2 linked regions of the Callithrix jacchus genome follow. The protein of the gene in region 1 interacts with the protein of each later gene in a pairwise test. Links are inferred from orthologs where the notes say so. Each region holds a gene or a part of one and is shown on either strand. Other genes may lie near its edges.

Region 1 (4,895 bases):
CTGCCTTGAAGAAGTCTTCAGAGAACATCTGGACCAGCCCTGCTGTTTTAGAGCTGGGGAGGCCCAGTGAGATGCAGTGACTTGCTTCAGATGACACAGCGAGCTGGGGCTGAACGCGGAGATTTCCTGTCCACAGTTTGTGGTGGGGGCTATAGACACCAGAGTACAAATCCCCTCTCTTGGGTGGAGTGCTGGGACCGAGAGTGATTGGGTGTGGCAGGGAAGAGGTGACAGGTGTCACAAGTTGCTAACAAAAGAGCCAGCCAGGAAGTGGACAGCAAACCAGGAAAGCAATATCAGGGGAGGAGACCAAGGCTAGGTTGTCTCCTCCCTGGGCAAAGTGCAAGTCCACAGGTGATTAGGGTGCTGCTTGGAGTGAGAAGTCCTAGAGGAAGGACAACTTCCCATCTGGGGGAGGGGAGGAGGAGACAGCAAGAGAAACACTTGATTTTAGGTTTTCTGGGTCTTAGCTTCCTCATTTTTTTTTTTTTTTTTGAGACAGGGTCATTCTCTGTCCCCCAGGCTGGAGTACAGTAGCACAATCACAGCCCACTGCAGCCTCTAACTCCTGAGCTCAAGCCATTCTCCTGCCTCAGCCTCCCAAGTAGCTGGGACTACAATTGTGCACCACCAAACCTGGTTAATTTTTAAATTTTCTGTAGAGATGGGGTCTCACTATGCTGCCCAGGCTGGTCTTGAACTCCTGGTCTCCAGCAATCTTCCAGTCTTGGCCTCCCAAAGTGTTGGGACTACAGACGTGAGCCATTGCTCTCCACCCCTCATCTTTGAAATGGAGCTGAAGGCCGGATGCAGTGGCTCATGCCTGTAATCCCAGCACTTTGGGAGGCCAAGGCGGGTGGATCACAAGGTCAAGAGATTGAGACCATCCTGGTCAACATGTTGAAACCCCGTCTCTACTAAAAATACAAAAATTAGCTGGGCATGGTGGTGCGCACCCGTAGTCCCAGCTACTCGGGAGGCTGAGGCAGGAGAATTGCTTGAACCCAGGAGGCAGAGGTTGCGGTGAGCTGAGATCGTGCCATTGCACTCCAACCTGGGTAACAAGAGTGAAACTCCGTCTCAAAAAAAAAAAAAAAAAAAAAATGGAGCTGAAAAACCCATCTCATAGGATAGCTGGAAGGTGTAATAGCAAAATAAATAAATAAAGCACTGGGCATATATAGTACCTGACCCACAATAGGCCCTCAAGAAAGGTAGTTTTTTTGTTTTTTTTGAGACAGAGTCTTGCTCTGTCACCCAGTCTGGGATGTAATGCCATGATCTTGGCTCACTGTCCACCTCCTGGGTTCAAGTGATTCTCCTACCCCTGCCTCCAGAGTAGCTGGCCCGGCTATATATATTTTTTTTTTCTGTATTTTTAGTAGAGATGGGGTTTTACAATGTTACCATGTTGGCCAGGCTGGTCTCCAACTCCTGACCTCAAGTAATCCACCTGCCTTGGCCTCCCAAAGTGCTGGAATTACAGGCGTGAGCCACTGCACCCGGCTGACAGCTTTCTTTCTCCCTGTCTCCCTTCCAGTCTGGGGAAAGAGAAAAGAGAGAAAAGAATCGTCCATTTGTTATCAAGAAGTGACTGTGGGCTGTGGCCGGGTCATGTCTCAGAACTGCAGATGTCAGAAGACAACACTCCCATAGAGACCATCCTGCCCAGCTCTCCCCCTGGGGCACAGAGCAGAGAACCGACTTGCTCAAGGCCATACTGCCCGGCTGCCACAGGCCTGGATTCATCAGAGGCCTCCAAGTCCTGTTACACTGTGGCCTCTCCTCTGCAGGAAAGTTTATTTTACTGGGTTTTTTTTGGAGGATGGTGGGGAAGATGGAAACAGAAAGCAAGTGATGGTTCCCCAGCCCAGCTCGGAGGCCATGAAGGCCAAGGTGAAGGATACACATCCCTCATGGCTTCCAGGGTGGACGCCCGAAGAATGTCTCGGATGCCGATGACATTCTCATGGCGAAAGCGCAGCAGGATCTGGATCTCCCGGAGCGTGCGCTGGCAGTAGGTCTGATGCTCGAAGGGGCTGATCTTCTTGATGGCCACTCGAGTCTTGCGCACGTGGTCATAGGCCGAGCTGAGGGGACCAGAGAGAGGCTGCTGCTGTGGCCTTACAAAGTGGGAGTCCAGGCCTGGTGGCCCCACCCAGGCCTTGGCAGGGAGGGGAGGGAGCAGGAGCTGGCTCTGGCCAATTCATAAACAATGCTGGTTCCTTCCTGCTGTGGAGGCCTGGGATCTCTAGAGAGAAAGCTGGGGACCAGCCAGGCGCCCCTGCGGTGACTTTACAAACAGAGGAAGAGACTGACCACTCACTGACTTCCCCTCTCCTCAATCCCCTTTCATTCTAGTGGCCCTGAACCCTTCACCCCACTTCCCAGGAAAGGCTCCTTAACCCAAGACAGGTCCAGGGGTGCAGATGCTGGGACCACACCATGGGGCAAACACAGTGGGAAAGCAGCAGCCAGGGAATGGACAGGGCAGGGGAGGGTCCCAGAGTGAGGGGCCCAGGCAGCCAGGCTGTCCCAGAGCACATGGAGGGGCGGGGGGCACTCACAGACCCCTCCCAAAACATGCAGGTGGCACTCCTGGCCCCTTCATCCCTCACTGAGCCCCTGGTGGTGGTGGGAAGGGAGGGCCAAAGCCCTGCCACACCCTGATCTCTGTTCTTCTCCCCCAGGCTTCCAAGCACTGCCTCACAGGGAATCCAAGACACCCTTTCCCCCAGAACGACCCTCCACTGCCCCTTCACTAAGGATGTCGCCTCCCCGAGAGTACTCATCCTCTGGGCCTTGCCCCGTGTCTCTAGGGTCCCGGCAGTCCCCCACATGCACTCAGATGCCCCTCCCGTCATTACGGAGTGCTGGACTCAAAGCTCCAAGCCCCCTCCTCTGAGGACGTAGCAGCGACCCCTCCCCCAGAAAGCATTCAGGGACCCCTCCCTGGGACGCTCCCGATCATCCCGAGTCCCCGGCCTCCTCGGGACGCTCCGCGTCTCCACGTCCTGGAAAGCGCTCGGCGCCTCCCCCTCCTCTCCCGCGAAGCCCCCTCCCCCGAGGGCGCCCCCTCCCCCGGAACGCCCCCTCACCTGACCATGCCGTAAGCGCCCTCGCCGATGTACTGCAGCTGCGTGTAGCGCGGGCCCACGTCGAACGGCTGCCCCTTCACCATTTCCACTTCCCCCGGGACCCCCGGGCCGACCCCCTCGGCTCTCCGGGGCTCCCCGCCCCCGCCCCCCTGAGCCGCCGCCGCCGCCGCCGCCGCCATCTCCACTCCTCCCCTCCCGCCGCCCTCCTCCCCTCAGCGGCCCCGCCCGAGGCCCCGCCCCTTCCCGCCCGCCTGTCACCCGCGGGGCCGCGCGCGCCAGGCCCCGCCCCCGCCCCGCCCCCGCGCGCCCCCGACCCCAGGCGGGCCCGGGGCTGTCACGTGAGCCGCCCTGCGCGCGCCTGCCCTTCCAGCCCTAGGTGCGCGGGCCTTGGATCCCTGCTGGTTCCGTGGCCTCCAGGCCACGGGAAGGCTCAGCAGCGCGGCCTCGGAGATCGTCTTCACCCTCTCCTCGATGATGAAGCGGCCAGCGCGTGACCTCCCAGAGCCAGCCAGCCAATGTGTGCGGGAGCCCACCAGAACCTGGGCCCGGGATCACCCTAGATCAAAAAAATGTTCGAATAAATGAATCAAATTTTACAGATCGGCAATCTGTGAGTTGGGTTAACTAACTTGGGTAAGGTCCCTAGTAATGACAGACGTGAGACTCAAAATGATGTCTTTTGACACAGAGGCTCTTTATAATTCCATGCCTCTCAAAATCCTATACTGTTTTTTTCTTTTAGAGACAGGGTCTCGCTCTGTCGTCCAGGCTGGAGTGTAGTGGTGCAATCATAGCTCACTGCAGCCTCGAGTGATTGGGGTCAAGCGATCCTTCAACCTCAGCCTCCCGAAGAGCCGGGACTACGAGTGGACAACACCATGCCCTGCTAATTAAAAAATTTTGGGGGGTTCCGGCACGGTAGCTCACGCCTATAATCCCAGCACTTTGAGAGGCCGAGTTGGGCGGATAACTTGAGGTCAGGAGTTTCAGACCGGCCTGGCCAACGTGGTGAAACCCGTGTCTACTAAACATACAAAAATTATTGGGGCCTGATGGTGGGCGCCTGTAATCCCAGCTACTCAGTAGGTGGAGGCAGGAGAATTGCTTGAACCCAGGAGGCAGAGGTTGCAGCAGTGAGCCAAGATCGCCCACTGCACTCCAGCCTGGGTGACAAAGCAAGGCGATTCCATCTCAAAAAAAAAGAAAAGAAAATATGTTTTTTTGGTGGGTAGAGACTGGGTCTTGCTATGTTGCCCAGGCTGGTCTGAAACTCTGACTTCAAGGAATCCTCCCACCTTGGCCTCCCAAAGCTCTGGGATCACACCTGTCCATCTCAGACTATTACAACTGAAGAAAGGGCCCTCCGAGACCATCCAGTCCACCCCCCTCTTTCACATCGAAGATGTGAGCTGCAAGCTTTACAAAAACACACAGCTCCCAGGCTTCAGTAAGTAATCATGTTGTGGGTTCTTTTGTTGTTTTTTTTTGTCCCTGAGAAGCTGGGAGTAGGTCCTTGATGCATTACAGATCAAGAGACAAAATGGAACAGTAATTATGATTCTGAAATCGCTTATAATTAGATCCACAGCCAGGCAGTCTCACTCAGATTAAGGAGACTGAGTTTCTGATTCCCAGTAGCCCATAGGTCAGTAAAGGTTCAAGAGGTGCTAATTAGATCAATGAGTTTTTTTAGTTATTCATTTGATAAACCATTGCATGGCCCTGTGTGCAAAGCTCTGAGCTAGGTACTGGGGCTGATAAAGGATTACTGGATAGTATGAATCTGTGCTTAAGAGT
Region 2 (4,268 bases), on another chromosome or scaffold:
ATGACTAGAAATACTGATAGTCAGTAGCCTGTTACATTGCAACTTTTAACAAAAGGTTGGATGGAATGATAGTTCTTTGTTTATCTTTCCCACTCTCCTTCCCTCTCCAGCCAAGTGTGCACTCCAGGCTTAAAGAGCCCTTGAAAAGCTCCTAGAAGGATAGAATGAATGGTGCATGGCAAGATCACTGCACGAAATGTGCTGACTGATTAAAGACAGATTTCATTTGCTACACTTCTTTTTATCAAAAGACACTTGGAGAAAGCAAAAATGGAAGAGGGACATTATTTAATATGGGCTCTATATAGCACCTGAGAGTACAAAACATTTTTTTTTGTTTTACCCAAGCAAAGCCTACTGTTACCATTTAGTGGTGACTGCTTTATTGACTGCTAATGCTTTAAAAATGAGATTAAATCAGGTCTATGGTCTTTATTACCGGGAAGAGATATGCCCCATGTGAATTCTAGTGGTTTGGCAATCTTAACCTCAGCAGACATAACATTGATGTATTCTGTGTTGCCAAACAGCATGGTAAGTGTTTAAAATGCTGTGAGCAGCCTTATTGCCTTGAAATGATACAATCTAATATGAGATTGTAATTCAGTGACTGAATCCGTGAGCATTTCCTTGTACGGAATGCTAAAGTCCAAACCACTGTATTTTAATATCTCACAGAGAAGGAATTGTTCTTCATTTCACTACTGAAAGACAGAACATGAAAAAGTGAATGTGGATTGTGGGAAGACTGACACTGCAATGTAACAGGCCATTTTCATTAGCAGTGCATAGGCAGCTGCCTTTCGTAATAAGGCATCAAAATGCCAGCCTGCTTCATTCAAATCAGCAGAGCTCCTCTGGCCTTGGGATCAACTGATGGGTGGGATCTATGAGGCCAGAAATTCTCAAGTGACAGAAAGTCAAATTGTCCCCTTTCCACTTCATTTGGAGCATTCTGAGAAAGTGGCTTTTGCCTAATATGCAGCATTTATTCCACTTCTTTCTCTTAATCAATCATAATTAACATCAACATTCAGTTCTCTCTACACTTTATGCTCATCAATCAAATTTCAGACACCCATCACTCAAAGGTTCCAGTTACCGTGTAGCCTTGATTTTCATGATTAGGATGTCACCTGGCCTGTCTCCTGAGTAGAGGGGATTTTCTGCATCTGTACCACAGTCAGTCATTGCCAAAGCAGACACGGGGCACCTCAAGGTAGAGTGACCCACCATCCTAGTTTTACATGGCACTGAGGAGGCTTCCCAGGATATGGGACTGTCAAATGCTAAAACAGGTGAGTCCTGAGAAAATAATAATAGTTAGCCACTCTACCTTAGGTAAAATCTGGTTTAACTGACTATGGAAAACTCTGCCTTCATCAGTTTGGGTGGACACCACAAAGCACTGTGGACTAAGTGACCTGTAAACAACAAACATTGATTTCTCAAAGTTCTGGAGGCTGGAAACTTGAGAGCAGGGTGCCAGTATGACTGATTTCTGATGAGAGTCCTCTTCTGGGTTGCAGATTACAGAATTCTCATTGTATCCTCATGTGGTGAAAAGAGCAAGAGTGTTCTGTGGTTCCTTTTATAAGGGCACTAATCACATTCATGAGGGCTCCACCCTCATGATCTAATTATTTCCCAAAGGCTCCACCTCCCAATACTATCACATTGGGGGTTAGAATTTCAATATACAAATTTTAGGGAGATAAAACATTCAGTCTACAGAATTCTTAGTGGAGACAAGGAGTGGTCTGAAGCTAGATATGGAGGTTAATTGCATATCTATGAGATGTAATTCTTTATAGCACCACTTGACAAAATCACCTCTCTCAGATTTCAACTTTCTCAAACCCTTACTAGGAGTGTATGAGGGAGTGGTGATTCTGCACAATTGTCCTGTTATTGGTGAAAACGAGTTATCATTCTTATCCATCTTCCAAAGTTGAGACTAGACTAAGTAGGATCTGGGGGAAAAACCCAGAACAAATGATTACATTGCTTATGATTCAATTTTGTTTTTACTGAGAACTGAAGATTAGTTGAAAGCAGCCCTGTAAATCTGCTTACCCATTGATAGCTTAAATTGATTTCAGGTTGGATCTGCTTGCCTGGCTTTATGATCAAGTACAAAAATTAAAAAAAAAAAAACAGCTTTTGGTCAAATCATTATAGAAACAAGTAAAAAAACTTTTTCTTCACTATGGTAGGTCTAACATTTCAGGAGCCAACAGAAATAATTATAAGCTTCTTCTAACCAGAAGAATGGGGTAGAAATAGCAATATCATGGATTCCAGAATGGTCAGTACCATTTTGTCAGGGTCTACATGACTTCAGTGTATCCAGATGAAAAGAAAAACTGTTCATCTTATTACTCAGCTGTTGGGCCAACATGTTACTAAACATCAAGAAATTTGGAAGCACTAGAGGGAATTTTATTTCTCACTTGAGATATAGATGTTGTAGGCCTTGCCACTGTAATTAAAATAAAATTCACTGTTCTTAAGACCCAACCAAAAAAAAAAAAATGACTCTACAAAAGTTTAGCATTTAATAAAACTATAAAATAATATTAGGAAATTATTTTTTATATGTTTCTATTAATAATAATTACTTCTGCAGATATAGGTAGTAAGTCAACTTGAAACAGTTTTGCCTTAAAAAAAAAATCTCATAAGTTTATGCTGCCATTTGAGATCCTATGACTGTTTTCTAAGCTAATTTAAGGAAAAAGGTCAGTCAAAACCATGAGAGAATAAACATGAATCTCTTTAAATCTTTCCTTTTTCTTAAAAACATGCATTCTTGATAAAAGTAAAAGTTAGACAGCCATTATGAAAAATGGTTATGTAGCTCTCTCAAAAACTAGAATTAGAATTACCATATGATGCAGCAATCCCACTTACAGGTATATATCCAAAGGAATTGAAATCAGGACATATAAGAGATATCTACACCCCATGTTAATTGCAGCATTATTCATAATAGCCAAGATATGGAATCAAGCATTAATGAGTGAATGGGTGAAGAAAATGTGATATATATTATCACATCTATCTATCTATCTATGCACACACACATACACACACACAATGGAATATTATTCAGCCTTAAAAATGAGTACATCCTGTTATTTGTGATAATACAGATGGACCTAGGGGATACTATGCTAAAGGAAATACACTAGACACTGAAAGAAACATGTTGTATTATCTCACTTACAGGTAGAATCTATTATCAAAAAGTCAAATTCATAGAAGCAGAGAGCCGAATGGTTACCAGAGGCTTGGGAGGATGGGGCGTGGTAGGGAATGGAAAGATGTTTGTTACAGGGTAAAAGGTTTCAGTTAGAGAGGAGAAATAAGCTTTTAATATCCACTGTACAGCATAGTATATATCAAAATTGCTAAAAGAGTAGATTTTAAATGTTCTCACCAAAGAAAAGAGGTATGTGGTGACAGATATGTTAATTAGCTTGATATAATCACTCCATGATGTATACATACATCAAAACATGACATTGTACCTCATAAAAATATATAATTATTGGTCAATTTAAAATGTAAACTATTTTAAAAATGTATATTATTTCTTCAAAAATTATTTTCTTATTTTCAAAAGAGAATAAGAAGAAGAGAGGAGAGAGGAGGAGAAAGAGAAAGAAGAATCCACCTACCTGCTACTGCAACTTTTGCTGTCCGACTAACAATTGACCCAGAATCTCCTAAAGATGCCTCACATTGGTAAAGTCCCTCATCTGGCTTGTGGTGTCTGGAATGAAGTATGTTTTGTATCAACAGAGACCCATTTGAAAGTTGCTGCTTCCTTTCGTCCATTCCCAAGGCTAGATGGATGCCATCTTTTCTCCACTTGATCACTGGAACTCCTCGGTCAGACTCTGCAGAGCAGTCCAGGAGGACGTTTCCTCCTCGCATCGTGATGGCATCAGAAGGTTCTGAGAGGAAGCGCAGTGCTGTGAAAGCTTTAATTTGAAAACCTGGAACAAGAGAGCAAAGGGAAATACGTTCATGCATTCAAACGAATCTCAGGCTTAGATTCCCCATCTTTTCTTTACAAATCTTCTCAAAAAAGTTGAGGGCTTTGAAAAATGTCCAAGAACAAATAAAAACTAACATCAAGGATATTATGTTGCATAAGTAAAAATGTACTTAGATGAGGTAACCACAATTAAGGAAACAGTTGGCTCCAAAAGCTAATATTACGAGAAATTACAAATTCATCTAGATCCAGGCTTGCCTAT

Evidence for each region. The genes of interacting proteins can lie anywhere in the genome.
Region 2: the proteins of MAPK3 (region 1) and DCC interact in a two-hybrid assay, tested with the Homo sapiens proteins (2 studies listed by BioGRID). The link is inferred for Callithrix jacchus from reciprocal best matches to the Homo sapiens genes MAPK3 and DCC.

The regions. Positions count from the first base shown.
Region 1 is NC_133513.1:29,405,316-29,410,210, reverse strand, and holds the start of MAPK3 (mitogen-activated protein kinase 3), read right to left. Parts: upstream 3,313-4,895; 5' UTR 3,278-3,312; coding exon 3,099-3,277; intron 2,091-3,098; coding exon 1,908-2,090; intron 1-1,907.
Region 2 is NC_133514.1:95,950,281-95,954,548, reverse strand, and holds part of DCC (netrin receptor DCC), read right to left. Parts: intron 4,005-4,268; coding exon 3,684-4,004; intron 1-3,683. UniProt on the Homo sapiens protein: Receptor for netrin required for axon guidance. Mediates axon attraction of neuronal growth cones in the developing nervous system upon ligand binding. Its association with UNC5 proteins may trigger signaling for axon repulsion.